Linked DNA regions of Oryzias latipes. The main gene of each other region encodes a partner of the protein of the gene in region 5 in a complex. Links are inferred from orthologs where the notes say so. Each region holds a gene or a part of one and is shown on either strand. Other genes may lie near its edges.

Evidence for each region.
Region 1: prpf3 (region 5) and lsm8 share a complex: the UniProt entries of both Homo sapiens proteins name them as parts of the precatalytic spliceosome. The link is inferred for Oryzias latipes from reciprocal best matches to the Homo sapiens genes PRPF3 and LSM8.
Region 2: prpf3 (region 5) and lsm7 share a complex: the UniProt entries of both Homo sapiens proteins name them as parts of the precatalytic spliceosome. The link is inferred for Oryzias latipes from reciprocal best matches to the Homo sapiens genes PRPF3 and LSM7.
Region 3: prpf3 (region 5) and lsm5 share a complex: the UniProt entries of both Homo sapiens proteins name them as parts of the precatalytic spliceosome. The link is inferred for Oryzias latipes from reciprocal best matches to the Homo sapiens genes PRPF3 and LSM5.
Region 4: prpf3 (region 5) and snrpd3 share a complex: the UniProt entries of both Homo sapiens proteins name them as parts of the U4/U6-U5 tri-snRNP complex. The link is inferred for Oryzias latipes from reciprocal best matches to the Homo sapiens genes PRPF3 and SNRPD3.
Region 6: prpf3 (region 5) and prpf6 share a complex: the UniProt entries of both Homo sapiens proteins name them as parts of the U4/U6-U5 tri-snRNP complex. The link is inferred for Oryzias latipes from reciprocal best matches to the Homo sapiens genes PRPF3 and PRPF6.
Region 7: prpf3 (region 5) and lsm2 share a complex: the UniProt entries of both Homo sapiens proteins name them as parts of the precatalytic spliceosome. The link is inferred for Oryzias latipes from reciprocal best matches to the Homo sapiens genes PRPF3 and LSM2.

What each region holds. Positions count from the first base shown.
Region 1 is NC_019881.2:23,243,465-23,248,232, reverse strand, and holds lsm8 (LSM8 homolog, U6 small nuclear RNA associated), read left to right. Parts: upstream 1-1,674; 5' UTR 1,675-1,876; coding exon 1,877-1,907; intron 1,908-2,960; coding exon 2,961-3,001; intron 3,002-3,090; coding exon 3,091-3,218; intron 3,219-3,936; coding exon 3,937-4,027; 3' UTR 4,028-4,374; downstream 4,375-4,768. UniProt on the Homo sapiens protein: Plays a role in pre-mRNA splicing as component of the U4/U6-U5 tri-snRNP complex that is involved in spliceosome assembly, and as component of the precatalytic spliceosome (spliceosome B complex).
Region 2 is NC_019862.2:8,272,434-8,277,151, forward strand, and holds lsm7 (U6 snRNA-associated Sm-like protein LSm7), read right to left. Parts: upstream 3,050-4,718; 5' UTR 2,943-3,049; coding exon 2,937-2,942; intron 2,704-2,936; coding exon 2,613-2,703; intron 2,518-2,612; coding exon 2,446-2,517; intron 814-2,445; coding exon 671-813; 3' UTR 402-670; downstream 1-401. Other genes in the region: kelch-like protein 24, read left to right, coding at 3,340-4,249, 4,376-4,718. UniProt on the Homo sapiens protein: Plays a role in pre-mRNA splicing as component of the U4/U6-U5 tri-snRNP complex that is involved in spliceosome assembly, and as component of the precatalytic spliceosome (spliceosome B complex).
Region 3 is NC_019878.2:23,646,881-23,650,537, forward strand, and holds lsm5 (U6 snRNA-associated Sm-like protein LSm5), read right to left. Parts: upstream 2,080-3,657; 5' UTR 2,007-2,079; coding exon 1,961-2,006; intron 1,900-1,960; exon of another isoform or gene 1,885-1,899; coding exon of another isoform or gene 1,845-1,884; intron 1,396-1,844; coding exon 1,300-1,395; intron 1,220-1,299; coding exon 1,192-1,219; intron 1,124-1,191; coding exon 1,051-1,123; intron 975-1,050; coding exon 942-974; 3' UTR 759-941; downstream 1-758. Other genes in the region: psme2 (proteasome activator complex subunit 2), read left to right, coding at 133-219, 520-600. UniProt on the Homo sapiens protein: Plays a role in pre-mRNA splicing as component of the U4/U6-U5 tri-snRNP complex that is involved in spliceosome assembly, and as component of the precatalytic spliceosome (spliceosome B complex).
Region 4 is NC_019870.2:16,128,444-16,133,393, forward strand, and holds snrpd3 (small nuclear ribonucleoprotein Sm D3), read right to left. Parts: upstream 3,266-4,950; 5' UTR 3,136-3,265; intron 2,349-3,135; 5' UTR 2,328-2,348; coding exon 2,202-2,327; intron 750-2,201; coding exon 557-749; intron 424-556; coding exon 359-423; 3' UTR 212-358; downstream 1-211. UniProt on the Homo sapiens protein: Plays a role in pre-mRNA splicing as a core component of the spliceosomal U1, U2, U4 and U5 small nuclear ribonucleoproteins (snRNPs), the building blocks of the spliceosome.
Region 5 is NC_019874.2:18,950,684-18,954,733, forward strand, and holds part of prpf3 (U4/U6 small nuclear ribonucleoprotein Prp3), read left to right. Parts: intron 1-146; coding exon 147-277; intron 278-1,008; coding exon 1,009-1,176; intron 1,177-1,853; coding exon 1,854-1,937; intron 1,938-2,016; coding exon 2,017-2,252; intron 2,253-2,356; coding exon 2,357-2,475; intron 2,476-2,557; coding exon 2,558-2,745; intron 2,746-2,863; coding exon 2,864-3,030; intron 3,031-3,137; coding exon 3,138-3,220; intron 3,221-4,050. UniProt on the Homo sapiens protein: Plays a role in pre-mRNA splicing as component of the U4/U6-U5 tri-snRNP complex that is involved in spliceosome assembly, and as component of the precatalytic spliceosome (spliceosome B complex).
Region 6 is NC_019865.2:15,457,580-15,461,008, forward strand, and holds part of prpf6 (pre-mRNA-processing factor 6), read right to left. Parts: intron 2,674-3,429; coding exon 2,551-2,673; intron 2,416-2,550; coding exon 2,294-2,415; intron 2,150-2,293; coding exon 2,011-2,149; intron 1,914-2,010; coding exon 1,794-1,913; intron 400-1,793; coding exon 223-399; intron 146-222; coding exon 12-145; intron 1-11. UniProt on the Homo sapiens protein: Involved in pre-mRNA splicing as component of the U4/U6-U5 tri-snRNP complex, one of the building blocks of the spliceosome.
Region 7 is NC_019862.2:27,136,731-27,141,377, reverse strand, and holds lsm2 (U6 snRNA-associated Sm-like protein LSm2), read right to left. Parts: upstream 3,385-4,647; 5' UTR 3,267-3,384; coding exon 3,264-3,266; intron 3,079-3,263; coding exon 3,011-3,078; intron 1,892-3,010; coding exon 1,861-1,891; intron 1,775-1,860; coding exon 1,715-1,774; intron 813-1,714; coding exon 687-812; 3' UTR 358-686; downstream 1-357. UniProt on the Homo sapiens protein: Plays a role in pre-mRNA splicing as component of the U4/U6-U5 tri-snRNP complex that is involved in spliceosome assembly, and as component of the precatalytic spliceosome (spliceosome B complex).

The DNA.
Region 1 (4,768 bases), on a different chromosome or scaffold from region 5:
AAGGTGTTCTGGGTCAAACCAACAAACTGACCCGGATTCAGATGAGGGAGGTCTGCTGCCGTTCTGTTCAGAACACGGTTGTCAGGGTTACCTCTGGGTCAAAGGTCACAGAGAACCCTGATCATGAACCCAATCATCCCAAATGTTGCTGTGTTCTGTTCAGATGCTGTTTGCACACAGGTCACATGATGCCACCCACGGGCGTGTTCAGTGGTCATGGCTAAAGGGGGCGTGGCTTAAGAGGGCTCAATGAGTGAGATCTAAAGCCATACACACTGTGTTTGTGCGTATGTTCTAACCGTGCGTGTGTCATTGTGCGTGTGTGTGACATTGCAAGGATTTGCACTCCAGCTCGGCAGTACATCCACCCACCCACACTCACTCACGCACACACGCACGTGCACAGCACTGCCATTTAAATAGTGGGTCAGAGTCGTTTTCATGTAGCTTCACCAACCAAACTGTATGTTTGTTTTCTTTAAAGGAACAAGGATGTTGTAAAGTATTTTTGTACAAATTTAATACTTTGGTAGCATGAGGTTCCTGGTGTTTGTCCCAGTCCCGTCAGCCTTCATTCACCCCCCACCTCCCACCCCACCTTCTGTTTTTTTAATACTGAGCAACAATAAAGTGAGACGGGAGGCTGTGACTCCACATGTGGTCTAACATTAGCACATGCATTCAAACGTGTCTGTTTGGGTTTCCTGTCATGTATATAATGTTTCACATTAAACTGAACTAAAGTTTTACATTTGTAAAAATCTCTGAGTCAAAATCTTCTTCAGGAAATCTTAATTTCTCTCTTGATCATCCGAGGTCGTCCAGGACGCAGAACAGATGATCAGGTGAGGTTCTTCAACCGGCCTGGTCTGAATGTTAAAATGGAGATACGTCTCCATTTATATCCCATCATCCCTTTGTTTACGCTCTCTCCCACTAGCTTACAGCCCCTCACAACCCCAACTTAACTTTACTAGTGTAACCGTACAGCAAGCAGTATCAGAGCTTGCCATCCATCCAGGTCTGATCCAGATTCCAGTTCAGACCAGGAGAACGACGACGTTCATGGATCTGGTGGATGATCAGAAAGGGGCGGAGCAGGAAGGCTGTGGCCCCGCCCATCTTTGTTGCTGCGTAACAACTGGGAGTTTTTTTCAAATGGCATTTTTTTTGCTACTGATTTACGATTTTAATAAAGAAGTACTTAGAAACGCAGTTTTATCTTAAATAATTTTATATATGCTCTCCATTACGAGAAAAATGCTACAAGAACATGTTAAAAACATCACATCAGAGTGGGTCTTTAAGGAGAAACTGAAAACTAGGCTAGAATTAGTTTTGGATCCTAAACCGTTAAGAGAAACGTGAAACCGGATAATGACCACATCTAATGATTGGTTCTGATGATGCTGGAATGTGTGAAGTATTTGTTACAAAAATAAATTTTAAGAAAAACAGCCTGAAAAGTTCAGATTGGAGCTGTCATTTCATTTAATTGTATGATTATTTGTTTAATTAAGTTCTTTAAACAAACACTTTTTAAAGCAGATTTTAATAATGTGTGAATGTGTGAGGATGGAAATTAAAAGTAAAGAACAGCTCAAAAACAATTTCTCCAAACTCCGTCCCAGGTGGTGACACTAATGCGCCAGCAGGGTGTTTGCTAACCGCCAAAAGAAAACACAGAAGAAGAAGGAGGACATGCGCATGCGCGCTTTGACGCCTCAGCTCTATGAATCTGTGTGAGATTAGCTGAGCCTGGCTGTTGTTAGCTGCCGCCGTTAGCCTGTGCGGTGTTTTTGCGGGTTCTCTTAGCCTGTTTCAAACGCAAGTCTTCCCGCCAGCTGGATAAATAAAAAAGGAGCTCCGGACAAACATGTCCACCGCGCTGGAGAGCTACATCAACCGTATCCTTCCGCTGCTGCTAGCGGCTAACAGGCTAACCGCCGTTTAAATGAATGGAGGGCTAACTGCTAGCTTAGCGCGCTAACGAAAACTCGTGTTTTGTTAAATATAAAGAGTGTAATTTAAATGTCTATTTAGTAGGCTTAACTAAATTCATCTTTAGATTTCAAACACTGTTTATTTTGTGCTTTTGTTCGGGTATCGTGCAAAAATAAGAATTTGTAGCCTTTTGGGTTATTTTCAGCAGAAAGTTTAAACCAGATTATTTTTCTTATCGTTTCCTGATTATTATTCATCGATCATTGGAGAACCGGGTTTGTCAGTAGAAGTAAAGAATAAATAATTAGGAGAAATGCTCTTTTATATTTCCTTAGATTATTCCTAGAGATTAAAGAGATTTGCATGAATCTCTTTAGTTCTGGAGGAGGATCTCCTCACAGGAACCAAAACATTCTGAGAACTTCATGATGAATATCAGGAATTCTACTTCTAAACCGCTTTTATTTTCCCAGAGTTCATCTTTTTGAAAACATGCTGCTGGTTTCCCCGCGTGTCTTCAGTGAAACTGAATCTTATCTTACAGATTCGTGCTAATTTCTCCTACATCCCATAATTAAATTCGTATTTAAATCAGCTGCAGAGAAGTTTGTTTTGCTGAAAAGCAAACCACAAAAAAACAGTAAAAAGTAACATCACACTGACTCAGTTTAATCAACTCCAATAAAAATTGTGTTTCTGATTTCAATTAGGCAGCAGTGGATGCAGTTTATTCTCAGCAACAGAAAAGCAGCTGTGAAGGTTTTTGTTCTTTGAGGCTGAATCTGTACAGCATGTTGTCTTTTCCACCAACCAGAAGTCGGGGCGGGGCTTCGGTCACCTGGGCTCAGTTTTTTCTTAAACTTTTTCTCTGCTGGTATCTGGAGTCCAGGGGACTTTGGATCCGACACTTCGCTCTGAACTCAGAGGAAAAGCTGCTGTAGAGATTTTTGAGCTTCCTAGAAGCTGTGAGGTGATGATGTGTTCTGGATGAGTTTCTTTGACCGATGCTGGCTCAGGTACGGTGGCCATCGTCACTTCAGACGGCAGGATGATCGTGGTGAGTTCAAATGCTCCTCCTGTCCTCGGCTGGATCCGCTCTTTTCGGTTGGAGCCCAGCCTCATTTTCTCATTTCTGATTCTCTTCAGGGAACTCTGAAAGGCTTCGATCAGACCATCAACCTCATCCTGGATGAGAGTCACGAGCGCGTCTTCAGCTCCAGTCAGGGCGTGGAGCAGGTGGTGCTGGGACTCTACATCGTCAGAGGAGACAACGTGTGAGTCTGAGACCGCCGGTCCTCCCATCAGAACACAGAGAAACAGGAAACAGTTGAAGACAGTTGAAAGGACATTTGATCTGAAAACAGCAGGTAAAAGCAGCTCAGCAGCAGAGTAGAGCGTCTACCTTCAGCCCGTGGGTTCGAGTCCACAGGTCGACAGAATCCTCCCCCTCCAGGGGCAAAGAGCCGCTCTGATGAAAATGCTCTTCTTCTTGTAGAGGTTTTCTGATGATGGAGGTCATAGATTCAGATCATTGAGATCAATTTCTGAGTTTTTCTTTAATCAAATTGTTGTGAATCAGGAGCAGACGAAAAAAATGCTGATGGGAAAAAATTACATTTATAGCGTAGAAAATACTCTGGGCGGGGCCACAGTCTCCCTGCCCCGCCCCTTTCTGATCATCCACCTGCAGACCAACAGATCCATGAACGTCTGTTCTCCTGGTCTGAGCTGGAATCTGGATCAGAACTGGACGGGTGGACCTGATGTTGCTGCTGTTTTTGTTGTTCCATTAATGTTAAGATGGGGGGGTGAGGGGCTGTAAGCTAGCAGGAGAGAGTGTAAACACATGGATGATGGGAAATGAAGATGGGCTCACTCTGCACTGCGAACCATCTGAAAATAGATCAGAAGCTGGTGGGAGTGGGACTTTAGCCCCCCAGCGGGCTCTAAAGGTCATTCTGACGGCGTGGCGATTCTTTTTTTCCTCATCAGAGCGGTGATCGGTGAGATCGACGAAGAGACCGACTCCACGCTGGACTTGGGGAACATCCGAGCCGAGCCGCTCAACTCTGTGGTTCACTGAGCTCACCGTCTCCACGGCAACAGTGGACTCAGGGGGAGGGGTCTGCTGCAGCGGGAGCCGTGGAGATGAAGATCTGAGGGTGATCAGAGTCTTCCTCCTCCAACAGACTGTTCTGATGTTTCCACGTTTGTATTTTTATAAAGGAGGTTTGAGTCACGGTCTTCATCTCCAACAGAGAAAAGTTGAATAACGTTGGATTTGATTCTTTTCATTTTGCTTTAAGGTGAAACCAAGACTCAAAAAAAGACTTGAGTTTGTTTTAAAGCACAAAGTTCTGCTTTTCTTCAGCTCCATGTTCTCGTCTTTCAGGGAAGAACAAATAAATGTGTGAAAATGTTTTCCTTTTAGAGCTTCTGTTCTGAAAACTTTATTAGCTATTTTTTTTAAACAGACGTTTATTTTATTTAGATATTTGCTTTGCTTTATTTGTGATCATGGAAACTTGAACTCATTGTTTTGTTTTTTGTCCAAAACGTTGAAAGATAGAAAAAACATGAAGCTCCGCCCTTGAAGCTAACATCCAATCAAATCAGTCGTAGCGATAAACTGCTGGAGACTCCAGCATTTCTGCGTAGGAATGATCTTCTGTTTGACAGTCAGCTCACCCGTTTATTGGTTCAGGCCGTCTTCCCCCGTCCTATCAGGATGGTTTAGCTCATAGTTATCTGGTTTGGCGACGTTCTCCGCTGTTCTGGCGTGGAAAATGTGGCGGCTAGCATTGTGAGGCCCCGTTTTCCCGTG
Region 2 (4,718 bases), on a different chromosome or scaffold from region 5:
AGATCTTAAAGAGCTCTAGGAGGATCCGCCGAGTTCTTCCATCAGGGTCCCAAAACCCACAATAAAACTAAGGTACAATTTATCCATGAAAACTAGACATTAAACGCCACATTTTTTTCTGCAGAATTTGATTTATTTTAACTTATTATTGCAAAAATTCTCCATCATTTAGAAAAACAATGTAAACATGGGTGTTAAGCACAGTATCCCCACTCTGCTTACAGCATTTCTAATTTAAAGTCGTTAATGCCGCAGATTTCTCCCTGTGTGCCTAAGCTTTCCCATTCCAAACACAAAAACTCCCTTCAAACTGACAAAAGCTCACTCAGGGTGTGAAAAGGAAGATGTGATCCAGCTCAGATCACTGCAAGGAGCGACTGCACCCAAAGATAAAAACAAACTCCAGCATAGGTTTTCCTTTTATTTTTCTTATCAAAAACAAACAGTAAAAAGCTCACGTTGTTCCTGCATAAAAATGAAAAGGTTTGCACTTCCGTAGCACATGAGCTCTTTAGAACAGAGGTTCCAACGTCTGGACACCACAAACAAAAGGGAAGTGCATTCAAAAGTCATTTTTACTGCTGATTCTCCAGCTTTCTTCCATTAGGTTGGTTAAAACAAAAACAACAAAAATAGAAACAAAACAAAGGTCTAACACTTCATGGGCGATTTAGCCGTCTTGCTGCTGTATGAAGGGGTTGGGTATGGCCTCCATGCCGTCCTGAGGACAGATCAGGACGACGGAGGTTCCTCTGCAGACCACCAGCCCCAGCTGCCTGGTGTCTTCTGTCAGCTTCAGCTGGTCGTCTGGATCTGCACACAGACACACAAAGGGATTGTAAATGCCAGAGGATGTTCATCTTTATGTTGCAGTTTTTGTACATTTAAAGAGATTTTTATTGCCGTCAGTAAATGTGACAAATGCTTAACAGAACAAGAGTCCACAGTTGATCCGATACTAGAGGAAAACAATATTACAATGCAAAGAGTTATTAGTTCAAACACAAAAACATTTTTTTCTAGCTAGTGGACTCTTAATGTTAAGGAAATGCTTCAGAATATGATAATGACCTATTAGAACCTATGCAAATGGGAGATAAAAACTTTGGTTTACGGAAAAACACGCCAAGTTTTTAATCGTTATTAAACGCGAGTTTGATGAATTATTATTATAGTTTTTAACTGGAGATCAATACAATTAATTTACTTAGTTTGAAGAGTGAAGGTGAAATTCTTACTGAAAGAAAAGTTACAATATTTAGAAAGGAGAATTAGAAGAAAAAACATTCTTACAAAAAACAGTTTTTCGCCATGGCGATCAAAGTAGCTCCAACTGCTCTTTGTGACATTTTAATGCAGCCAAATTATATATACGTTTAAAATGTGTTTACTTTATTAATCATTGTTAATCCGGCATTAGAGAGTGGGCTAGTGTTAATTTTCTCTCGACTTTAATGTGTCTTCATCATGAATGCTCATCATAGTAAGAAATAATGAGGTCATGTTATGTATTTGGAAAACAAAAGTCCATCTTGTTGATGGTTTTTCTGAAAAATATGAATAACCTTCTTTATGAATCTTTAGAGACATGATGCAGACATGATGCATTCATGATGACAAACAGGACATTTTTTCAAGATGGGGAATTGTGATTAGAAAACGCAGTTCAAAGTTTGATTAAAAACAAAACATTAAGTCCTAAAATACCTGTCTTAGACTACAGCACAATAAATCAATGTTTATTGAAAAAGTTCAGTCTCATTTTAATTTCCAATTTAACTTTTTTCAATTTTTATTAAAGCTTTAGTTTTTAAGAAATACACACTTTTGTAGAACTGATGAATTAAATTAACGCTGATGTTTTTCACACTTATTTACGAGTAAAAACTGCACAAGAACAGATGGAAATTCACGTATTAAGTTCAGCAAAGATGCATTTATCAGAGTCATTAGTGGTTTTACCCAACCCTAACCATTCCTCCAGGTCTGTGAGGCCAAGAAAGAAGTTCTGCACCGGCTCTACGTATTTAGAAAATTATGTGGGAATAGTCACTTTCATAAATTGAAGAAAAATAGAACTTTAAATACAAAAAATTGTAAATATTATAAAGGCGAACAGATTGGCTTCTCCTGTCTGAGAAGGCACGAGAAAATCGTTTAAAAAAAAAAAAGAAAATCTTGCGGCTTTGATGAGTAAATATTACATTTTTTAAATGGAGATCAATACAATTGATTTACTTAAAAAAACAGTTTGAAGAGTGAAGCTGATATTCTAACTGAAAGAAGAGTTACAGTATTTTTGGAAATGAAAAAGAATTAGAAAGTTTGAACCTCACAGCCTGAGTCCACATAACAGTATCAGTAAACCATGGACTAAATAACTCCTAACTACTTAATTATTAGTTCTCCATTAAGAAAAGTGGGTACACGTGAGTTTTCACTTACCACGCATGTACTCAATTGTACCGTCCAACACCAGGTTCAATAGAGGATCGAACCCTTTTAGAACTCCGCTGGCTAAAGAGGGAATAAACAAAGTAAATAATTATATTCTGACATCACTGTGAATATTCTGGTCACCACAAGTTACAATCTTTCGACAAGCCACCTACCCTCCCGTCCTCCTTGAAACTTCACACGAATTGGCTTGTCGATGTATTTGGACAAGTCAAAGATGCTCTCCTTCTTTTTCTTTTCTTTATCCTGTAAAGAAATGTCAGTTTCCAAGATTAATGCACAGTTTAAGGCGCAGACCCTTAGCCTAGCATTAGCTTAGCATCACTGACTAAGGCAGTAACAATTTCACAAATAAAACGGCCGTTACTTCAGAAATGTTATTCTCATTTCCTCAAGTATTCTATTACTGACTAACACCAAATAGAAAATGTTCGGTGAACAATAAGAGAGAAAATTAAACGAAATTATTTCGCACTCACCGCCATGTTTGAAGTGTGACCCGGAAGTTAAACTTTGACCCCAGATACAATTTAATAGCACCAATCACATCGCCGTAAACTCGCATCTGACGTCATCTGAAGTTATTTGCACTCAAAAAATAAAATAAAAAAATGTTCTTAGCTTTAGTTTTACTAAATAATTGTATTTTAATAGTAATTTTTAAAAAAACTTTTACTTTTCAAAGTTGACCTCTTTCTTAACTGCATTCTCCGGGCAGGGGCGTCTATTAATAAACAAAGTACACACCAGCTGGTGTGTTGGGAACCTACCGTAGTTGTGATCCAGAAACAGGACAAAGCAGTAGACTTGTTTTACTCTTTACAGTGACTGAAGTGAAGTTTCAGAGCTTCAATCAATCTTTTCCATGAGTTAGATAACACAATGGACGAAGATGGATATGCTTTTCATGTGGAAGACCCTGGGCCGGATTTTATTCCAGATGCTGTCCTACGGGTAGAGGAGGAGAACTTTTACGTCTGTCGGGAGCACCTGGCCCTTCAGAGTCCATACTTCAGAGCTCTGTTCTTTGGCTGTGGTGTGGAAAGCCGCAAAAAGCTTGTTGAGATCAAAGGTGTGGGTCGACAGTCTTTCAAAGTTTTGATAGAGTACAGCAAGACTCGCCGTCTGACTTTGGACCATGAAAATGTTCTTGGGATTCTTGAGACTGCAAACTATCTACAACTAGAAAAAGCCAGACTGCTGTGTTGCAAGTTCTTGGAGCGCGAGCTACACCTCACGAATTGTTTAGGAATGATGGCCTATGCATGGCAACTGGGCTGCTCTCAGCTTTATTCTGCAGCCCGGCAGGTTGTGCTCACACACTTCCCTGCGGTCTCAGCTGAAGAGGATTTTCTGTCCCTTTCCAAGGAAAGTATTGCTGATCTACTTGCCAGTGATGATCTGGCTCTCCACAAAGACGATGTGGCGCTTGAAGCCACCCTGCGCTGGGTTTCGTTTGATCCTAAACGAGAAGAACATTTTTTAGAGCTAATAGAGCTGGTGAGACCAGAGTCTCTCTCCTTAGCATTTATTACCCAACTTCTGACCAGAATGAAAGGTTCTGACCCTCGAGCAAGGCTCATCAGCAAGCTGAATGATCACTTCCCAGCCTCTTGGTCAGTAGGCAGGTCTTTGAGGCGGACCAAAGCTACAGAGACTCTCTATGTCCTGGGAGGGCCTCATGATCAGGAACAGCAGGCACTGTATCAGTTCCACCCTCTGAGCGGTAGATGGCAGTGCTGTGCACCTTTGCAGCAGAAGAATCTAACTCAGTACTCAGTAGCTGCAGTAGGTAATATCCAATTAAGATTAAAGAGAATGCTTTTCTTGAAATCTCAAATGTGAAATAAATGTATAAATTATATTACATTATAAATGTATAAAATAAATGTAAATTTAAGGTGTATTTTCCATTTAGGAAACAACGTGGTTGTGACTGGAGGCCACTTCAGAGATGTGCTGTGGTTCAGTGTGGACTGGGTGAAGATATACGAATGTTCAAATCAGCGCTGGGTGGATGGGCCGGCCCTGCAGAAATCCAGACACAGCCACTGCTCCATGGGGCTGGACTCCTCTCTGTATGTCCTGGGAGGCTGCATGGATGAAGGCCTCGTGGGTGATGTTGAGGGGTTGGTTTTTGGATCAGAAGATGGCTGGCAGGGGTTGAGCCCTATGGTCAGGGCAGTGGAGCGGGCAGCCACTGTAGCTGTGGGGTTGTGCATCTATGTAGCGTGTGGCCTGGATGAAAATGGGGAGGTGTA
Region 3 (3,657 bases), on a different chromosome or scaffold from region 5:
GACGGCGGTCTCACAAACACTGCTCCACCTTCCACCTACATGGCGTCACTTTGACTTCTGTCAATCATGTCCCAGTAGCCAATGGGCTCGGACGTCCTGAAACACCTTTAACTGTCGTTGTGTTGCCCTCAGATGGACTACCGCTCACTGGTTCATGAGAAGGACAGAGCGCTCTTCTCTGACCTCAGGGTGATCCTCCTCGACATCCGCGGCTTCTACGTAAGACGACAAAGCTCCAGCCGCTAAATGCTTTGGATTCCAGACACTTTTGCTCACTTTTAGTTGGAGATTCTTGTAGCATAAATTGTTTGGTTTACAAAAAAAAGAAGTTACTTGGATTAAAACAAGTTCTTTTTAAATCTTCCTCCACTCAGATGTAGGATTTTAATGAAAGTATTTAAGGTTTTAACCAAAAAAAAGGTTAAATTCCTAGTTTTATATAAGAAAATGTGTTTTTAGGGGTGTTTTATAGCTAAAGTGTATTACCTTTTCATTCAAACAAGCTTCTCACTTCCTCAGGCCGAGCTGTACGACATCATCAACAAAAACCTGGAAAAGGTGACCAACCCAAAAGGAGAGGAGAAATCCTCCATGTACTGAGGCGGCAGCGGTACGCCGTTTTGGAGGAGCGCAACTTTAGATTTAGACTTCATGAACCGTGAGCTGTTATTACTGCTGTTGGATGCCAACACTTTTTAAAAACAGGAAAGAAAATTGCACTAAAGTGAACCTATGAATAATAAACTTGTAAATCAAACTGTGTTTAATCATCTGGTTTATTTATAACAAAAAGAGCTTTTCTGTCCTTGACGTGATTCATTCAAACCTTAAAGAATCAAAACTAAAAAATATTAAAAACAAAATGTCCAGTAAGAGAAATCCGCAAACTAACATCAATCCAGAACAACCAAAGATGTATGTACATTTAGAAAACTTGACATCTACACGTCTGGGCCTTCTCCACCTGGGATGAGCTGCAAAGAGAACCATTCTGATGAGAGATCCGGTCAGCGACACCCCCCCCATCCTTCCCACCGACTGCTTTCTCACCATGGTGATGTTGTTTCCATTCAGGAGGATCTGATCCAGCTTTGTTATCCTCCTGCCTTCCGGTGTGATTTCACTGGAAAAACAAAAACACATCAACAGCAAGCCCCAAGTACACAAAAAAAAAGAAAACAAGATACTTACAATTCTGTCACATCCTCCAGCACCATGTCTGACACAGAGTTAAGGAGCGGCTGTGGGCCAAACAGGGAAACAGCACAACACTGATACCAAAATATCGATGAAGGATACTGACAAAATCATCAAAACCTAACAAGGTTCCGACGATTTCTTTGTCTGTTTTCATGACGATGTGAATTCGAGAGCCGATGCATTTGTCCACAAGCTCTGAAGAAAGAAGAACAGTTATTTCAGTTTCATGCATGCAGTCTACAAACCACACTGATTTTATATTTTAACAGGTGTCTGTAACTTAACTTTTTGTTTAAAATAAAGTTTACGCAAGGCATCCAACATAAGGAAAACCATCTCTTAAGAGTAGTACATCCTAATAATATTAATGATAATGAATGACGAGGTGAAAACGTTTCCTTTTGGGCTAATTAGCAACACGGTCGCAAGGAGCGGCTAGCTGCAGCATTGCTATGCAATTCAAAAAGCGCGTCAACTACGAACCCTTTACGGCAGGACCATATTAATCGATGAATTAAATATATTACAATCAGACAAACACCCAAAGACTTAAAAAGTGTCATTCTTTAACGTAGTTTTAACAGCATGAGCGTTTCGATGCTAACGAACAATTAGCTGCTAACTCCTGCCCGCCATTGTCAGACCGTTCAAACCACGCAGCGGCCCCGGCTCTGACCCCCGCATGAACACTTCCCGGAGTTTTGCGTGAATCCCCGTCAGACCCCGGATAGAAAACGGGCTTAATTTAAAGCTTACGGACCGAGTGGGAGCAGCTGGGACGGGTTCGTGCCCTGGGTGGCTGCCATGTTTACTGACGAACACGCTTCCGCACAGGCCCGACCAATCGACAAATGAGCGCAGTCCAGCAGGCAAAAGCAATCGAACGTGGAGTATTTATTTGAACAGCAACGTTTGTTTAGGTGTAAGACAAAGGAGTTATAAAAACATTCTGGGAGGAATTCTGCTTTTGGTATTCTTCCAAAATTGCAATGCCAGTTCATTTACACGCAGAAAAATTTCTATTTGGTGTTCTTAATATCCAGATGTTGCAAGGAAAGTTTTATATACACAAAAATAAATATTTGAAGACCAAAACACTTTTTATAACATTTCATAAAGAGCTCTGTTTTTTACTTCAAATCACTTCATTATATGAAAAAGAAGAATGACTTGAAATTGCTTTGTTTTGTTCAGAAATACAAACTTCACGAGTACCCCTAACTAGTATTAGACTATTTAGATTGGATCTATGTTCTTTTATTTTATTTTTATTTTACTTATTCGTTTTTATTTATTTGTGTGTTATGTTCATTGTTTTTTTGTTTTTCTCTATTCTTTATTTTTTTGTTAATATGTTATGTTTGGCAATGGTGATTGATCTTCAAGGTAATGTTGATTACATGGTTATTGTTCGTTATTTAATGTATGATACCTCAATTGTCAATAAAGTTAAAAAAAAAGTGAAAGACAAAGAAAATGGGGTCTGAACATAATATAAAAACCCACCAATTTAAAAAAAGTTGTAACTGTTTTTTTTTTGTTTGGCCAACATGAGCAAGAGATTTAAAAGCCAACCAGAGTCCTTTTGTGTATCCTTTGATATAAGATCCAACAAAACATGTTTCCAGAATAAAACAAAACAAGAATCAATTTTGTCATGTATGAAATCACAAATCTTCTACCAAAGCACTTTAACTTGAGGACAATTCCAGAAAAGATGGATGTCTGTTTCAGGGGAATTGCAGCAAAAACTACAGATGTATCAATGTTTCATCTAATCTTTTTTGAATGAAAATTGTATCTGGGTAAATTCTGTGGATAATCCTAAAAGTAGCTTATTTTACTTAATTGGTGATCAAGCGTTTATTAGGGGTTTGCCAAACCTCCTTCCATGCAATATCATCAGCAAACATATTCCAATAAGACATGCTCTGAGGTAGAGATGCAATGTTAATTTGAAATAATGTTTCTTCTGGGATAACGGACAGACATATTTTCTCCACAGGAGTATTTATGGGAGAGAGCAGAAAAGGCTCGTCAACATGTTGAAATGTAAAAGCATGCCCAGCCTTCCACAATCTCACATCCATTTTTGTGTCAATTGTGGCAGAAAAAGCTGGAAGTTGCAGTATATATTTATATATGTATCTATTTATTTTTTATACTTTTTTGTGTGTAAAAGATAATTGTTGTTTTCTTCTTTCTCTTTGCACCAATGTGGGACAGTTTGCAATTTCGTTGTACTGTTGTACCAAGTGTGATTGTACAATGACAATAAAGCTTTATCTTATCTTATCTTATCTCAAAATCCTTCCTCTTAAAGATCAATCTTTGGAGAGCCACTGATTCACTTTCCTTTGTGTGTGTTTTTTTTCTATTATTGGGTTAAGGTTAAGAGAGCTTCTTGCATGTTGGTCTTTTGTTGTTAAAGCACCTATATATTTCACTTCAGTTTGA
Region 4 (4,950 bases), on a different chromosome or scaffold from region 5:
GTTATTTCTAAAATGCAAACAGCAAGCTAGTTTTTTTTTTTCAAACTACCAAATTTACTTTACTTTTAAAAGTTTAAAAACTAATTCTGCTCAAGAAATCTAACTTGCACCTTGAACGGAAAAATGTACTGCTTTTAAATAAAAAAGAAATTAGATAGTCAGCATGTCAAACAAGTACAGGAATAATAAAAACAAGACAAAAGGGATATTAATTTAAGACATTTTGAAACATCTTTTATTTTTGTTTAAAAAAAAAAGAAAAATTCAAGAACTAACTTGCAAAGACAAGATTGCAAATAACAGACAAGTCATTCAAGTAAACGACATGAGAAAAAATAAAAACATTGAAAAGGAAAAGCTATCGTCTCTTCTGGAAAATGTTGCCTCTTCCCATTCCACCACGACCTCTGCCTCTTGCAGCCACTGCAAAGGGAGACAACAAATTCAGAAATAATTCAGTAAAAAAAAAAAAAAAACAGCATTCAGGAAGCAGGGTGTACCAAGAATAAGGAAAAGTGGACACACCATTTATCAGCATTGGTTAGGAACCACTCACCTTGTGCTTTCAGAATGGCCGCTTTGCCTCTTCCTGCTCCAGAACCCTGGTTCTTGTTCTTCATACTCTTTAACATTGGAGCGTTCTTTAACATGTCTGGTAAGATCAGAAAGCGGATCTTGCTGCCACGAATGTACACTTGTTCCAGCTGGGCAACCCGCCCGTCACGATAGGTTACTGTGATGTTGGACATCTGTTGGGACATAGAAATAAATGGTTCCGGTCTTAGATTCGTAAAATGGCTTGATACACGTTTACAGTGTTCAATGGAATGCAGGTTAACATTTTAAGTTATCTGTTAAACTTGGCAATGCAGTTCTCTATTTGAAAACACATTTGTAGATACTTCATTTAATCCCTTAAAATAATTTCTAACAACCTTTTTGATTTGTCATTTGATTAATAAGAAATCTACAATTATTAACAGAATATACGTTTTAGAATATTTAGCGTTTTGTTAAAGCCTTCACACTTATCTTTAGAGTACTTTTAAGACACACTGAGCTTTATCCACCAAAATTTCTGCTTTTAAATGAAATAAACAGATTTGGAGTCTATTAAACTTTTACTGCACTAATGAAGCTTGAAAAGACTATCAGCATTGACAGGATGTTTGGGAAATATATTTAGTTACAGTACTCAATACTTTAAGAAAAATGGCTTTAAATATTTCAAGGACAAATGTGCATATATGACCAGATAACTATACAGATTTTTTTAGGGGGGGGGGGTGAATTGGGTCAGTTAATAGAAAGAACACAACTTAAATTTACAAAATAAAATAAAATTGTTATTCCAGATTTGTTTGTTACAGATGTGCAACCAAAACTAGAGACCCAAAAAAAACAACAAAAAAACAAAGGTCATAAAGGCAACCTGTCCCAAAACTTTAAAATAATCCAACATAATTTCCTTTTTCCACACAGGGCCGTTTGGTTTCTTAGTGCTGTGTTTCTATTTACTTCCAACGGTAATGATAAATCATTTATGGTTTTTGTTTTTCCCTACAGGTCACTGACCTGATGCATATTAGTAAAAGGGAGTATGTTTTGTTGACTGTAAAAGCACCATTGATCTCATTGAGTAATTAAGTCACTACATCAATCAATCATACGTTACACACGTGTGGTTGGCTGAGATTTTGAGGGACAAAGAAACCGGGAGAGATTTTTCTTCGAAGAGGAGTAACCGATTTGTCTTTCGCTACAAACATGTTGAACAACTGTTTTTTAAAAAAAAAAAAGAAAGAAAGAAAGTATAACATGAGTTTGTCTCACCGCAATTGTTTTACTAAAATACTACATTCTCAACAAACCTACTCAAATAGTTCTACATCACCTGCTTGTTATAATTGGTAGATTCTAGACTTATTCCTGTGAAAGCAAAAAAAACAAATGTGCAAGTCTAAATAAGAGTTGGTGCAATAAACTGCATTAAAATACCTTTGGCATTTTTGTTTCCAAAAAGTATGTGAAATAAAAGGGGGGGGGGGCAGCCAACAATAAAATGTCCATTAAAAAAACATTCTTGTGTTCTTTACACATTTAAAATGTTCTTCTCAAGTGTGGTACAGTGAGTTGAACTCTAAATAGAAATTTACGGCATGCTTTTTTTTTTTGGGGGGGGGACGTTACTCCATACAAACCTGGCAGTTCATGTTGTCTTCAGCCTCGATCAGTTTGCCCCTGTAAACCTCTCCAGTGTTGGTTTCACAGGTCACAATGTGTCCCTCTGCTTCATGCAGGACCTTGATTGGTACGCCAATGGACATTTTGGAAACGGTCTTTCTAGGCTATTAAATTAAAAAAAAAGACAAAACATACGGTAAAGGGCACTGAAACATACAGTATTATCACAAAACCTGACGTACGGTATTGTCTTTGTTTACAGAAGGCTACTGAAAGTCTACAACATGCAATTCATTCATCCAATTTTATGATTATTATGTTTGCATGTGTCTGGCTTGGAAGTAATATTTACTGTTAGAACATACTTAAGACTTGTTTTGTGCTGTAAATAAGGTAATTTACACCCACAAAAAAAAACGTACAAAAAAGGCACTTAAGTATAACAATGTTTCCATTATCATTAGCTAAGCTACCTCGTTAGTGATTTATTTCTTGTACTGTTTATCAAGACGGTATTATTTCTACGTAGAGAAATCAAGTGCTGCAGAAAACTCTTCAGTTTTGGATTACACAGTTTAATCAGGTAAATGTTCGGGATTACTTTTAAAACGTAGTAACGCTAATGGCTAGCTTAGCTAGCCACGTTAGCTAACTAGCCACCAACTACTGGCCTCAAGCGAAACAAAACATTAATTAAAAACTGTGGGAAGTAAACCACCACAATATATTTAACGTTAATGCTTCACACCCAACATTGTTGGGACTCAAACGTGCAAATTATTTTAGACACAAGCTAAATATCAGGCATGGATGGAGCGATGGACATATTCGAAACTTAGCAAATGGGAGGCAATGTAGACAAAAAGCGATAATTCTGAATCACATTCACAGCTAAATACCAACCACAATATAATACTTGCTAGCTTTAGTAGCTAGGGTTTAAAGTCTTACTTCAACTCCCTTTGAATTCTTGAATTGTTGTTCTTTTTAGCGGCTCAGCAACGTGGGCTAGTCGTTGAGCTTGGCGTTTGAGCCTTTTTTCCGCTTACCCACAATGCACCAACAAAGCGTTTGTTTCCTGTGGCGCTTTTCGCCGTGCATTATGGGACATGTAGTTGATTCTGATTACCTAAACCAGGTGTGTTAGGTCAAACAGAATGTAGACTCACTTGAGTCAGCCAGTTACCAGAAAGATGGTTAAGGAGAAACAACAACAACAATAATAATAATAAGTGTTATTATTTTTTGTACTATTATTATTCTTTTTTAGTAGTATTGGAAGTAGTAGTAATAGTAAATAAAAACTAATTTTCATCAAAAGGCCTCAGAGAGGTCCAGGAATACCAATCATTATAGGACATTGGACTTTCAAACAAAAATAGAAATCATGAAACGTTAACAGATTAAAAATGTACACAATAAAAAATGACTTGTTTATTTGTCCTGAATTAGATTAACATGAATTTAATTTGATGATTACTCATTGGAAAAAATCAACTATAATGGAACACTGGATAGATATTTGTAAAAATATTTTATTGATTCCTTGCAGTGGTGCATGTTTTTTTTCCATAATCCTCCTCACTATGTTTTTTCTCTTTTCCTTATTTGTTTTATGTGAAAGATTTGAATCCCGAACACGTGTATAGCTGGCACATATGCTTGTCAAAACATCCCAGCAAGAAGAGATTATGAAAATGAAACGACTCAATCAATTCAAATGGATTTTTTTCATCGACCACAGAGAGCTATAAACATTTACTCTACATAGTTTTTGAATGAACAGACTTTACGTATCATATACATACCCTTGCGTGTTTATTTATGTGGACTAGTCTTTTTTACCACTTCAGTGAGACGCATAAACATTGCTTAATGCGGGGCTTTCTCACGCTGGAAGAGGTTTCTAATGAGGAAAGACAAAGCATAATGGGATAATAAAAGACATCACCAAATGAACCATCATTTGATTTCCATTGCAACAGGGTCATTGACTGGCGTCAGCAGACAGGCTACTCTGTAAACACCTGTACCTGTGCAGCGTGTGGTCATGTGTATCTACTTTACGTGTCCATGAGGGTTTCAGGCGTTTAATGCATGCTAACCTGACTCTGAACGTAGTTCCAGTCCAGCCATGAGCAGTGACATTTGCAGAGATCAAACAAGCACTTGTTTTGGGTGGATGCTAACAGGCCTGTTTACACTGATGCCTTTGAATCATGTCACTTAGATGTTGATCTGGGTTGTCAGCTTTTGTTGCCAGGCAATTATCCAATTGCTGATCAAGCAAGCAAAAGGATTTACTTAGAGGTAAACACTTTGTAGGGGAAAGTGCACACCTATAGATTGTACTCAGACTACATTCGTTTCCTCAGCTGTTGCAGACAGCCGTTACAACAAATAGCACGGATCAAAAGAAAGCTGTATGTCATGTGGAGTGTGTAAAACTTCTCATTTTGCTTTTTGACATTTTACTTCATGAATCGCCATAGTAAATCTTGTCAAATCTTCTTTTAACCCTTGTGTTATCTTAGATGACCCCACCCTTACTTTGACATGTTCTCCCTACCATGACAAAGGTGGATAAAGGTGGAAAGATTTCATGTAATCCATGGACACCAGTGAAGATCACAAATCATTGAAGAAAAAAGGTTCAGTGCACTGTCTAGTGGGTCTAGATGACCCAACTCCCAATGTTAAATTGCCTAGGATAGCACAAGGGTTAAATGGTGGCACAGATAAAAACTTGTTTTTTTTCCCGGTTGT
Region 5 (4,050 bases):
GATGCTTGTGTGCCGCAGGAATTTTGTCAAGGATAAAGTGTGCCTTGGCTCAAAAGAGGTTGAAAAACACTGGTCTTATATTAAGAAATGATTATCAACGAACTGTTGAATACATTGTTAATCATTTGACTCTTAATTGTCCTCAGACCAGTTGCGTCCCTTCCTCGAAGACTCAGCTGGTGGATTTGTTGAACGTCTTTTTGAAGCTCTTGAGGAAAGTAGAAGCAGCCGTGGCAGCAAAGGATCTGGAGAAAAGAACCGGAAGAGAGAACTTAAGGTAAATTAATGAATAAAAATTAATGATTTAGGCCTGCACAATATATTGCAAATTTATCGTTATTGCGACATCAAGCTGTGCAAATTGCATATCGCAAAGGACTGCAAAAATTGCAATAAATTGTAACCTTAAATGTTATGGTAGCTTGAAGTATTTAATGAATCAAATAAATCCATTTATGCATTTGACCAATCAGATGGAGGTCTTTATGTTGTTGACCAAGGTAGGGTACCAAATTAACCTATGAAGAATGGTTTTGGGATCATCATTCTTTTATATTGAGAAAAGTCAGTCAAAAACTTTTGCAATACCTGTTTATGGGAACTGAGCAGCTCCACTGGAGCAATTGTGGCTGCTGTCACAGTAAGGGTCTGACTTAAGAGCACAGCGGTAGGGTTATGGGTTACTTTGTCCCATCTAAGTTTAATCTCACTAATTCTGGGAGTTGACTAGTCAGTTACTTACCACTAGTCTTCCACTGCCAAATATGACTGTATTTACTGTTTAATAAAATAAAAAGAAACCTTACTTAACTTCAGTCACACTAATTCTGTTGTTTCTGTTGAAAATGTCAACCCCACAACATTTTTAAGAATTAAGATCAATCAATCAATTTCACATTGTTTTTTAAGTTGGAAAAATACTGTGTAGGCTATACGCTCTTTTTTGTTCACTAATCAATATGTTTGAGTGTTTAGTTTTACTTATATTTGTGCTTTGACCATTCGTAGGATGTATTTGGGGAGGAGCATGACTCTGGTGCAAAGAGGGAAACATCTGAGACAGCAGATGGGACGGTAGTAAAGCGAAAACGAACACCTCGGTTTCAAGAAGTGGAGGAGCCTGAGGTCATCCCAGGACCTCCTTCTGAAAGCCCTGGCATGCTTACCAAACTGCAGGTACAAGACAAATGGCATAGATATTATGTGCTGAGTCATCTGTGAAAAATACTTCTTTATTTGGGATTTTCAACATAATATGGTTACATGTATGGTGGGCGGGTTACTTCTTCAGTATTTCTCTCAGGTATGTGGTAAAAAAGGAGGAAGATGAAATGTTTATGTGACTAAAAATGTTAAAATAAGCAAGAATATAGCTTGTTTGGAGTACTGTCATTTTGCCTGGGCCTCTGTGTTATCATTACTTTAATGTTCCTATTTATCTTCTCAACTAAACTATGAGCAGCTCCAGTAAATGTATTGTAAAAAATCAATTCTTTGTTGTTTAAACTGTGTCAGTTTTCCTTGATGTACTCCTCAAAGAAAATCCCCAAAACGTTTAAAAAGGATGAACAAAAAACAATAATTTTCAAAGTAAATATGTACACCTAATGAGCAGTATTTAAATGTATCGCTTTCTGGTTTTCATATAGATTAGAAGGGAACATATATTTAGTCTTTGTGTTGATATTGGAACTTTGGAGTACCTTTTACACATTAATTGTTGTATTTTTTCCATCTTGCATGGTTTGGGATTAACAGTATTGCAAATGTGTTTGTTACTTATTGATTTTATTTATGAAGTATGAATTTTTAGAGATAAATATTTATTTTAAAACCATGATACTTTCTTTCAGATCAAGCAGATGATGGAGGCTGCCACAAAACAAATAGAAGAAAGGAAGAAACAACTGAGCTTTTCTTCGGTCCCTTCTGCTGCAGTAATTGTTATGCACAATCATGAACAAAAATCAACAACAGTTTTTTGTCTCTAACTCAGTTTTCTTTTTAACCTTAAAGTCACAGTTGGATGGCTCACGGCTTCTGGGCGCCGCTGGTGCCTCATCTGTTGCCCCCTCGCAGGCTGCCAGCTTTATGAATGATGCTATTGAAAAAGCCCGCAAGGCAGCAGAGTTGCAGGCCCGCATTCAGTCCCAGTTATCTGTGAAGCCTGGTATCCTGGGAGCCTTGGGAAACACCGGACCTCACAACCTGGTAGCACTTGCTAATCTACATGCCATGGGAATTGCTCCACCGTGAGTAACTTGAAGATATCTAATTTATTGGGGGGAAAAACAATAGATTGTGTATTTGCTTTCTGGATACAAATAATCATTTGTATCTGTTTGTGAAACTGAAGTAAAGTGGAGATTAAGGAAGTGAACAAGCCAACACCCCTCATTCTTGATGAGAAGGGAAGAACTGTTGATGCCACTGGCAAAGAGGTTGAACTTACGCACCGCATGCCCACACTCAAAGGTAGGTCTTCTGGATCGGTGTGTAAATGTGTCTCATCATTACTGCGCTTTGACTTCATGGACCACTATTCCTTTTTTTGCAGCTAACATACGGGCGGTAAAGAGGGAACAGTTCCGTCAGCAACTGAAGGAGAAACCTAGTGATGATTTGGAGTCAACATCATACTTTGACAACCGTGTGCTCATTACGCCTGCCCAGCGCCTCCGCAGAGGCTTCAAATTTCATGAGCCCGGACGGTTTGAGAAGATTGCCCAGAGAGTTCGAACCAAGGTTGGTGAAAAGCTTGACATTATCATCTCAAGACCTTTGTTAATTATTCAGAAATACAATTTGGCAATTCAAAAACACCTTGTTTGATGCCTTTTGCATAAATGTCTTTGCCCATTAGGCCCAGTTGGAACGGCTTCAGAATGAGATTTCCCAGGCTGCTAAAAAGACAGGAATTCAGGCTTCCACCAAACTGGCATTGATTGCGCCTAGAAAGGAGATTGGAGATGGGGAAGTACCCAGTATTGAGTGGTGGGACTCCTTCATCTTGCCCTCCAACATAGTTTTGTAAGAAAAAAAACTTTAAAATGTTTTTGCAGTTTTTAAACCAATATGTTAACCTTATCTGTGCATTTCTTTTAGTTTGGTTAACTTTATTATTTTTTCCTATTTAGCAAACCGGAAACGAGGTTTGATAACGTGGAATTTTTTGGAGTAACAAACCTGGTAGAACACCCTACACAAATGAGACCTCCTGGTAAGTTTAGGTGGAAAAGAATGTGTTGAGAAATTACAGTTTCTGCCCTGTGATGTTGATAATAGACTGTTAACAGCTATTTGTCATGGATGTTTCGAGGATACGTCTTATATCCATAAGATTTTATGTGTGTTTTTCAGGAAAAAACAGGCAATTTATGAATTCCTTCACTATTCAGTGCATAGTTGTATTTATAGTTCGTTCGCCATTTTGCAGTGCTTTCAGAATCTACTATTTCAGAATCGAGTGCCCTAAATTTTTTTCCAGACGTCTCTGCAAAAAAACAGTGTGCATTGATGCTCACTAGATTGGCGAATATAGACCATAATGCATTGCGTTCGAACAATTTTGCGAAAAAAGTGTTTAGATGCATTTTTTTATAAATAAACAATCAATGTTTTCATTCTCAGTGGATTCATAAAAAGTCGTCATAAATTTAGATTTTCACTTCGTGAAATAGGTGATGTCATATTTGCTGTTTGCCTTTAAAGTCCAGGGCAATAGATTGTCCTGCACTATAAAGCTTTTTAATTGTAGTAATGAGGGAACTCTGACAAAGCCAGACAGAAAGCTTTACCGTAAAGTAAGTATCCTAGTCCAATAAACTTTTGAAAAGTGATTTGTTAACCACTAAATTAGAAAATTGTAGCTATATCTGATGAAATCCACTGTAACATGTCCTCAGCTAACATCCTGTTAGGCACCCCTTGCCAGACTTAATCCCAGTTTTGACTGTACAATATCTAAACTCTTCCTGTGGTCAAAACTGGTCTCTAAAGACATTTGTAAGGGATTTTTGTCTAAGTATTTTTTCTCTTTATCTGTAAACT
Region 6 (3,429 bases), on a different chromosome or scaffold from region 5:
GAGTTTCTCACCAAAGGTCGGCGCACTGAGGGTTTTTCAGCCGAGACTTTTCCAGGATCGCTCTGGCTCTCGTCAGCTGTCCGACTCGCTCCTCCAGACGAGACAGCAGGAACCACAGCGCCACTGAGTGTGGACACTTTTTTAACTATGGAAACAGAAAAGATAATTATCACCTAAAGAGCTCATCCACCTAAGGTTTGGTCTGTTTTTTTTTCCCCTCACCCCTTGGTTATACGCCTCTCTAGCCTTGTCCATGTTCTCACACTGCTCCTCAATCTGACCTCGCATCATCCAAAGCTTGGGGAAGTCCTCGTAATGTTTCAGCGCCTCCGTGCACAGATCCTGAGCAGCTTCTATGTTTCCCAACACCCACTCCAGCTTCACAGATTTCATGAAGACCTGAAATTTAAAAAAAGAAAAAGTTCAAATGTGTTTTTTACACAGCAAGCCTGGATGTGACCTTATTCAGAATTATACCGGCTGTCAGAGATTTCAAGTCTGGACTTTGTTACAAAGCCATAAAACAATAGTTTACACTTCTGCTACAGTCCCAACATACAAGATTACTACACTCTTCACTATACACAAAAAAACGACAACAATGGCTGCAATTAAGCTAATTTATATTAGTGCAAAATACTTCTGAGCTTTGTTATAAAAAAATAAAAATAAAAGCAGTCGGGAGTTTAAACTCACTTTACCAAATAAAGAACATAGGTCACTAAACATAAATTAATATACATTTTAGACTTAACAAGTACATTAAACATGAACAATTCAAAAACAATAAAACCTTTTACTCTTTTACCCAAAAAGGAATAAAATAAGGATTTCAGCATCTATAATCAGACGCGTATCTGAACCAACAGACCCTAAAATGTGTCCCATCAAATGTTTTTTTTTCTGTGATTGGCAACACAAGTACAGGATAAAATATTCAACTGGAAATTTTTCGAGTCTCTTCAGATGTTGATGTTACGTCTGGGCTGTTTTTTTATATTTTGGACTCTGATTTATCTTTTTTTCAGCCTTGAGAAGTGAGCCATTCAATGCCACTTTCTATCATTGTAGCCTGAAAAATCAACAGCTTCCTCAACAGTCTGACAGCAGGATCAGCACAGCCCACAGCAGAGTAGATTCTCTTAGGTTGGCATCTCTCAGCACACAATTGCGATATGAGGCGGGATTGGAGCACGATAAAGATCAACGGTGACAGGTGACAGGCTTTTCTGAAAGCACCTGTCAAAGTGAGTGGAGATGACTAACTGACACTGCTGGCCTCAACAGAATTAGTAAAGAAGACTGAGACAACCTTCTTTTAGATCATGATTGAACAACGGGTTTCTGACAGGAAACAACACAACATTATAGCCAAATCTGGCATGACTCTTGTCAGACAATCTTGTGAAAAATGTGGTTTATTATAACTATACTATGAGCTAATTTAATCATAAACTGTTCAATCATATTGGGAGGCAAATCAGAAAGTTAGGGAAGTCTCCATTTAAATGCTTGTATTAGGAGAAGTCTGGGAGAAAAAGTTTTAAAACTCCAATATCCTTATTAGGACTTCCATTTATTTTTCCAAAGTCTGAATTCAAACCTAATTCTATAGGTACAGCTTCAAAACTACTGATATTTTGGCCCCATTTTTAATGGCAGACATGACGTTTTTCCTCTTTAGAGCTAAACTTTGATTCCCAGGAGGACCAGCGCCTCCCAAAAGAATGGTTGTAACCACAACGGTCCTAATAAGGGAAGAGAAATGAGCATAAACAAACACAGGCGCTCACCCTGGCTGTTGGTGCACTGCTGCGAGCCTTGGCCAACAGTCGGCGGGCTCTCTCATACTCGTTGTTTTCAGACTCCAGTTTTACAGCAGCAAGCCAGATCTCTTCACTGTTTGGGTTGGCCTAAAAAGAAAACAATAACAAAGGACTGGTCTGCATTAAAAGCTAATTTATAATCATTATGATAATGTGTCCAGAGTTTGCAGGAGTTCATCGCCACCTGAAAGGCCAGAGCGAGGATGCTTCGAGCTGCTGGCACATCACCAGCCAGCCACTTGGACTTGGCACCCATCAGCCACAGGACCTCAGCTTTGGGACAGTGAGCTACGGCTCTCTGCAGCAGGGCCTCCAAAGACTCCCTGAGGCACACCATGAAAAGTTAGAAAACAAAAAGTGACAGAGATAGAATCGAATGCAATTAATGGAAATGAAGCAAGGAGAATAAGATAATAAAGCACGACTTCATGGATGATAAAATATGTTTGAAAAAAAAAAAGACTGACCTGGTCCCGTGGTTTTTCTCAAAGTAGGCAGCTCTGAGCCAGACACTTTTCTTACTGGGGAACACTTGAAGGGCATGGGCATAGATGGCTCTGGCACACTCCAGAGCTCCATGAGCCACACACTGGAGCACAAAAACCACAGGCCTTTAATTACTCCATTAAAAAAATAAAATCACATAATGTAATTGGCCAGATAATTGAGCAGTGCATTGTGCAGTGATCCGACTCGTCTTGTGCTCCAAATTCAACCAACTTACACTGTCAGCATCCTCCATCCATGTGTGTTTACGGTCCTCCTCTTCAATGCCAATGCCGATGACTGCCCTTATCACAGCCTGACAAGTGGCCACGCTGCCCGCTTTATCACACTCTTCAGCATCCTGCAGCACACATTCAGACGGAGGAACAACTGTGACTGATAAGGTGGCAGAAAATAATGTGAGAAATAAAAATTTGATACAGCAAAGAAATGCAGCTGAAAACAAACTTAGAACTGAGCAACAGGGAGTCTCAAACAGTAAAGAATGGAGGTAGAGGTGCCATGATATGTGGCATAACACTGTCACGTCGCCAACATGAATGGAAAAACACTAAAGAATATGTTTTATCTAACTGTAAATACATTCAGGCATGATTAAATAAATACAAAAAACTATTAACATTTATGAACAAAAACTACTGAAATAACGGTTTCTACTGGCAGCTTTTAAAAACATCAACAGAGAAACTGATGAGGAGCCTGGGATGTGTTGAACAACCCTGACAAAGGATTCATGACATGAACTCTGGATGTCTGAAATCTCCGGCGGCTCTTTAGCCTCAATAAATATTCCTGTTACTTTAACGATGCACAATCCACAGTGACATTCACCAAAATAAAGGTTTTTCACCATCCGATCACAACTGTGATGACTATGTTTAACGTATAAGGTTAGCAGAGGAATATTTTCATGTAGATGAAAGCTGCTGGCATGAGCGCTCATGCCAGCAGCTTCATTTCTAATGAATGAGAAAGCAATCAAGTTAAAATCAGAATTTGAATTGTGGCCCAAAGCTGCAGGCCAGTTTCAAAATAAGACGCTTCCTGCAGCGAATCCTTAAATGAACCCAAGTTACTAATTAACATGTATGTGAAG
Region 7 (4,647 bases), on a different chromosome or scaffold from region 5:
AGAAAAAAATCCAAATCTATGTTACACTCCAGTAGAGATACGCAATATGAGGATAACCTGCGATGTTAATGATCAATATTGTGATGACGATATAACTTATGACACATGAATAAATAGCAAAACAGCTAAAAATGTAATTTCCATTTCCCGTCAACAGTTTAATTTAATTAAGAGTCATCTACAAAAGGGATCCATCCGATTGGTCAAACGCGTACAGGGATTTATTTGATTCATTAAACCCTTCAAGGTGCCATAAGATTGTTTGGCGATAATGATACATTTGCAATTTATAGTGCAGGCTTACACCCCAGCATCTTAGAAAAGAAAAAACAAAACAAAAAAAGGCGGAGCAACACAGCCAAATATAAATTATTTTATTTCCAAATGGCATTAAAAAACAAAAAAGTTACAGCTATTGGAAAATGGCAGAGTCTCATCTGCAGGCTTCACTTTAGGCCAAACTCTATAGGAATGAAACAAAAGACAAAGATCCTAAACCGCCTCAGAAGTAAAGAAAATGTCCATAAACCCACAGACCTGCAGTTGGCCCATCGCCAACATCAGGAATGCACTCAATTCTCCATCGACCGGCGCAGTGTGTGGAGGCGGTTCACAGCGGTCTTCTTCAAACTGAACTATAAAGAACCCATGACTTAAAGCCCCCCTCCCCGAACCCGCAGCCCCGGTCACTGCTTCTGCTGCATGGCTTCCTTCCGAGCGGCGTCCTGAAGCAGCTGAGTGTCCACCTCGTCTGCCGGCAGCTGAACGTACCGGACCACCGAGCCGCGGATGAAACAGTTTTTCACAGACAGCTGGAGAGCGTGAAACACGTGAGACACGGAGTCAGGCAGGGCGCCTTCCAGAGGAAGAGAATGAACACATCCAAGGGGATTCAGAAGCTAACACTTCTCTTTTTCCCACCACTCTCACGGGTCAAATAACCACATTTACACTCACCTGCCACTTTATTAGGCACACCTGTCCATCTGCTCGTTATCACAAATTTCCAACCAGCCAATCACATGACAGCAAATCAATGCATTTAGACATGGTCAAGATGATCTGCTGCTGTTCAACCCGAGCATCAGAATGAGGAAAAAAGGTGATTTAAGTGATTTTGAACGCAGCAAAGCTGAAATCATCTATTAATAATGAGTTCTCTGGACTCGATGGTCTCCACAGTCACCAGATCTCAACCCAATAGATCACCTTTGGGATGTGGTGGAACGGGAGATTGGCATCATGGATGTGCAGCCGACAAATCTGCAGCAACCGTGTGATGCTGTCATGTCAATATGGACCAAACTCTCTGAGAAATGTTTCCAGAACTTTGTTGAATCTCTGCCACCAAGGATTAAGGCAGTTCTGAAGGCAAAATGGGGTCCAACCCAGTACTAGCAAGGTGCGCCTAATAAAGTGGGCAGTGAGTGTAGAACTTCTGCATATTTTTAAATGTTTTTCTGAAAAATTGTAGTTTAGAAACTCTGAAAAATGTTTCTAAATCTTTGCTGTTTACCTGAAGAACTGCTGTCTGCTCTGCCCTACACTGAAACTGAACTTCCAAAGGTGTGCTTCTACATTTCTCACCCAGCAGACAACTTTAAAAATGTTTGTTATACTGACAGAAGGAAATAAAAGAATAAAAACAACTGTATGTTTTAGAGGCCTCTATGCAAACTTTAGACTAAAAAGTAAACCATAGATGAGGACTTGCCATGTGTGGATACTTCTCTGGGTCTGTCACACTGATGTCGGTCAACTTGATGTTCAGGTACTAGATGATGACAAGAACAACATTTTTAAATTGCAAACCAATACATTGATTAATTAAAAAAAGTAAAGAATTAATTATTTTCTAACCTGATCAACAGAATGAAGCGTCCCACAGATACTGGGGGGAAAAAGAGAAAATGAAGCTTTCAATGCAACAGTGAACTTTTGATGTTAAATGACTTTCTGGGAATATGCAAATTTGTATTGAACAAGTCAAAGTTTTTGTTCAGTAAATTTATTTCTATTGTCAATGCTGCAGGAAAGTCTGTTTTTTCTTATATCCCACTCTTATCTTTTTAAAGCGCTCCTAGTGGTCTTTAAATGTGCTGTTTTTAGCCAAAAATAAAAAAAAAACCTGCGTCGTTTTCTAGGACAGTTTCTGCAGAGCAGCAGTTGTTCACTAGAAATTTGTCTGAGATCGTTGGTGCAGAGCAAGCCTGCCCCATCTTCCCATCATCCTTTGCTAACTTACAACCCCCCCCCCTTAACCCAACATTAGGTGTGCAACAAAAAAGAAAAAAAAAGTAATATTGGAGCAATCCAGCCGTACAGTTATTTGTGCCAGCTCAGACCAGGAAAACAAAGACGGACAAATCTATTTGCCTGCAAGTGGATGCATCAGAATGGAGCAGAGCAGGGAGCTTATGGCATCAAAACCACTTTTTTCATTTGGATGGGTTTTTAAAAAAAGTACCACATGTCTAAGTATCGTCCATCTGTGAGAGGAGCTAAGAATTATGAGTTACGTCTTTAAAGAATGCCCAACAACTAACTGTAAGCTAATTTTAATATTTACTTTTGAGCTTTCATCATGAGATGCAGCTAGTTTGATTGACCCCCCACCCCCACCCCCGCAATTGACCCTACTTCTTCGGGAAAAAGGTCTAAAATGAATTTGCAGCACGTTTGCAGACCAAGAGTTAGCTCAGAAAACTAACAGGAAAAAAAGTACATTTTTCACGCTGCTGGCACCAACCTATTGAGCCAGATTTGCAACAAATGCTGGAAGGAAGGGATGGCAACCCCACGCCACTGTGACCAGCATGAGATGCAAAACACCAGCTAGAAGGAAAGACAGCAACTCTGACAGAGTCAATGTCTCTGTCAATGCTAAGTAGCTCTTCACTGCACCCATTCAAACAGCGCTAGCAGAACCACGCGCCATTTTTAACCACAAACGGCGCTTTGAAAAGAAACATTACCAAACAAATTGGTATGTTGAGTTATCAAAACCAACCTGAGGTCGTTTTTCAGCTCCACCACCACGTCCTTCCCAACCAAAGACTTGAAAAACGAGTAGAAAAGCTGTAGATTTTTTTTAAAAAAAAGACGATGTTAGCACGATGATGGGCCGACAAAGCGGCTCAGCACACTGCGAGCAAACTCAGCGACAAAACAAAAGAAATTCAGAAGAATTCTGACACTCAGAAACCTAAAATGTTTGACTTAAACTAAAAAAGTACATTTTAAAATGACGATTTACGCCTTACCATTTTGGCTGTGGTGTTCTACAGAAGGTTTGGCTGCTGTTGATGACGTATCAGCCTGCGCCGTGTTTCAGCGGTGAGTGAGTACCACTTTGCGCCACTAGAGGGAGACACACTGTCGTTCAATGTTTATTAAGGAACTATCAGGTGTTTTTCATTGACCGAGATTTAAATTTAGGCTTTCACTCATATTTCTTTAAAAAAAAAAGACATAAAAAACATTATGAGCCATCTCTTAAAAAATTGAATAAAATATCAAAAGTCTAATTCAGATTTAGTCTAGCTTCTAGTCTAGCTACCAGACATGTTTGTGATACTTTTTGTACCTCAAAACTTTATTTTTTTGTAGTATGCAGACCTTTACTGTGATTTAAAAACACACACAAACACAAACCTGAAATGTCTATAATTTGCTGCAAGAGTTTTTAATCAGGATTAAGTTTGTTCCTCAATGTTCTTTTATAAATTACGACGGAGTTTTAGGGCCACCAAAAAAAAACAAAAAAAAAACGTAGGGTCGTAATAAAAACATAGAACCTAAACTATATTAATAACGATATTAATCTTTGTAAAGAAATTGTGTTTTTCTATACTGGTCAAAGGAAAGCATGCTTTTCATGCTTTAATGCTGAAAGTTTTCTGTATGAAAACTGGATATATTTATTGTTTACGTCTTCTAATTTAAAGAACCTTTGGTCTCCAGTGCCATTTGGAGTTTTATTCTGTTTCTTCTCCAATGTCTTTCTGATTTTATCTACAGTTTGATGCAATAAAAATCAGAAAATGAACACAATTGTGACCGTTTTGTTTCAAGAGTTCTTTCTGTATTCTGATGAAAGACCACACGGGGGCAGTGTCGAGCACTCAGATGTTTTAACAAATCTTTTCAGCTTCTTTACTCATCATGGTTTACGAACTTGATCTGAAACAGAAAACTCTATAGCAACGAATCACAACTGAATGTACACAGTTTTATCTTTAAAATAATTATTAATTCAAAAGTTCTTTTGTTTTGTTTTTGAGAAAGTTAAGACGTTGCTCCTGGGTCTTCTGTTGTTGACACGGGTAAATTCCACTAAATGTGCTTAAACTGTGGAGTGGACGGTGTCTCAGTGGACTCTAGTTCAGGATAAAAAACAAACAGGTGAGATAACTCTGGACCATTTACTCCTTTTATGAATTTTCCTATGTTTTGGAAATTCTTTTATTACAAGATACATACTTGATAGAGTGAGTCTTTCTGCAACTGTTAACTTAATTCATTTTCATCAAATATAGGGCTGCACAGTGACGTAGTGGTCCACTAACTTTACTCAACAGTTGCTCAGTTAAAGGATTCAGTGGGTTCTGAGGATGGATAGGTAGATAAGTGGATCATTAAAAGCAA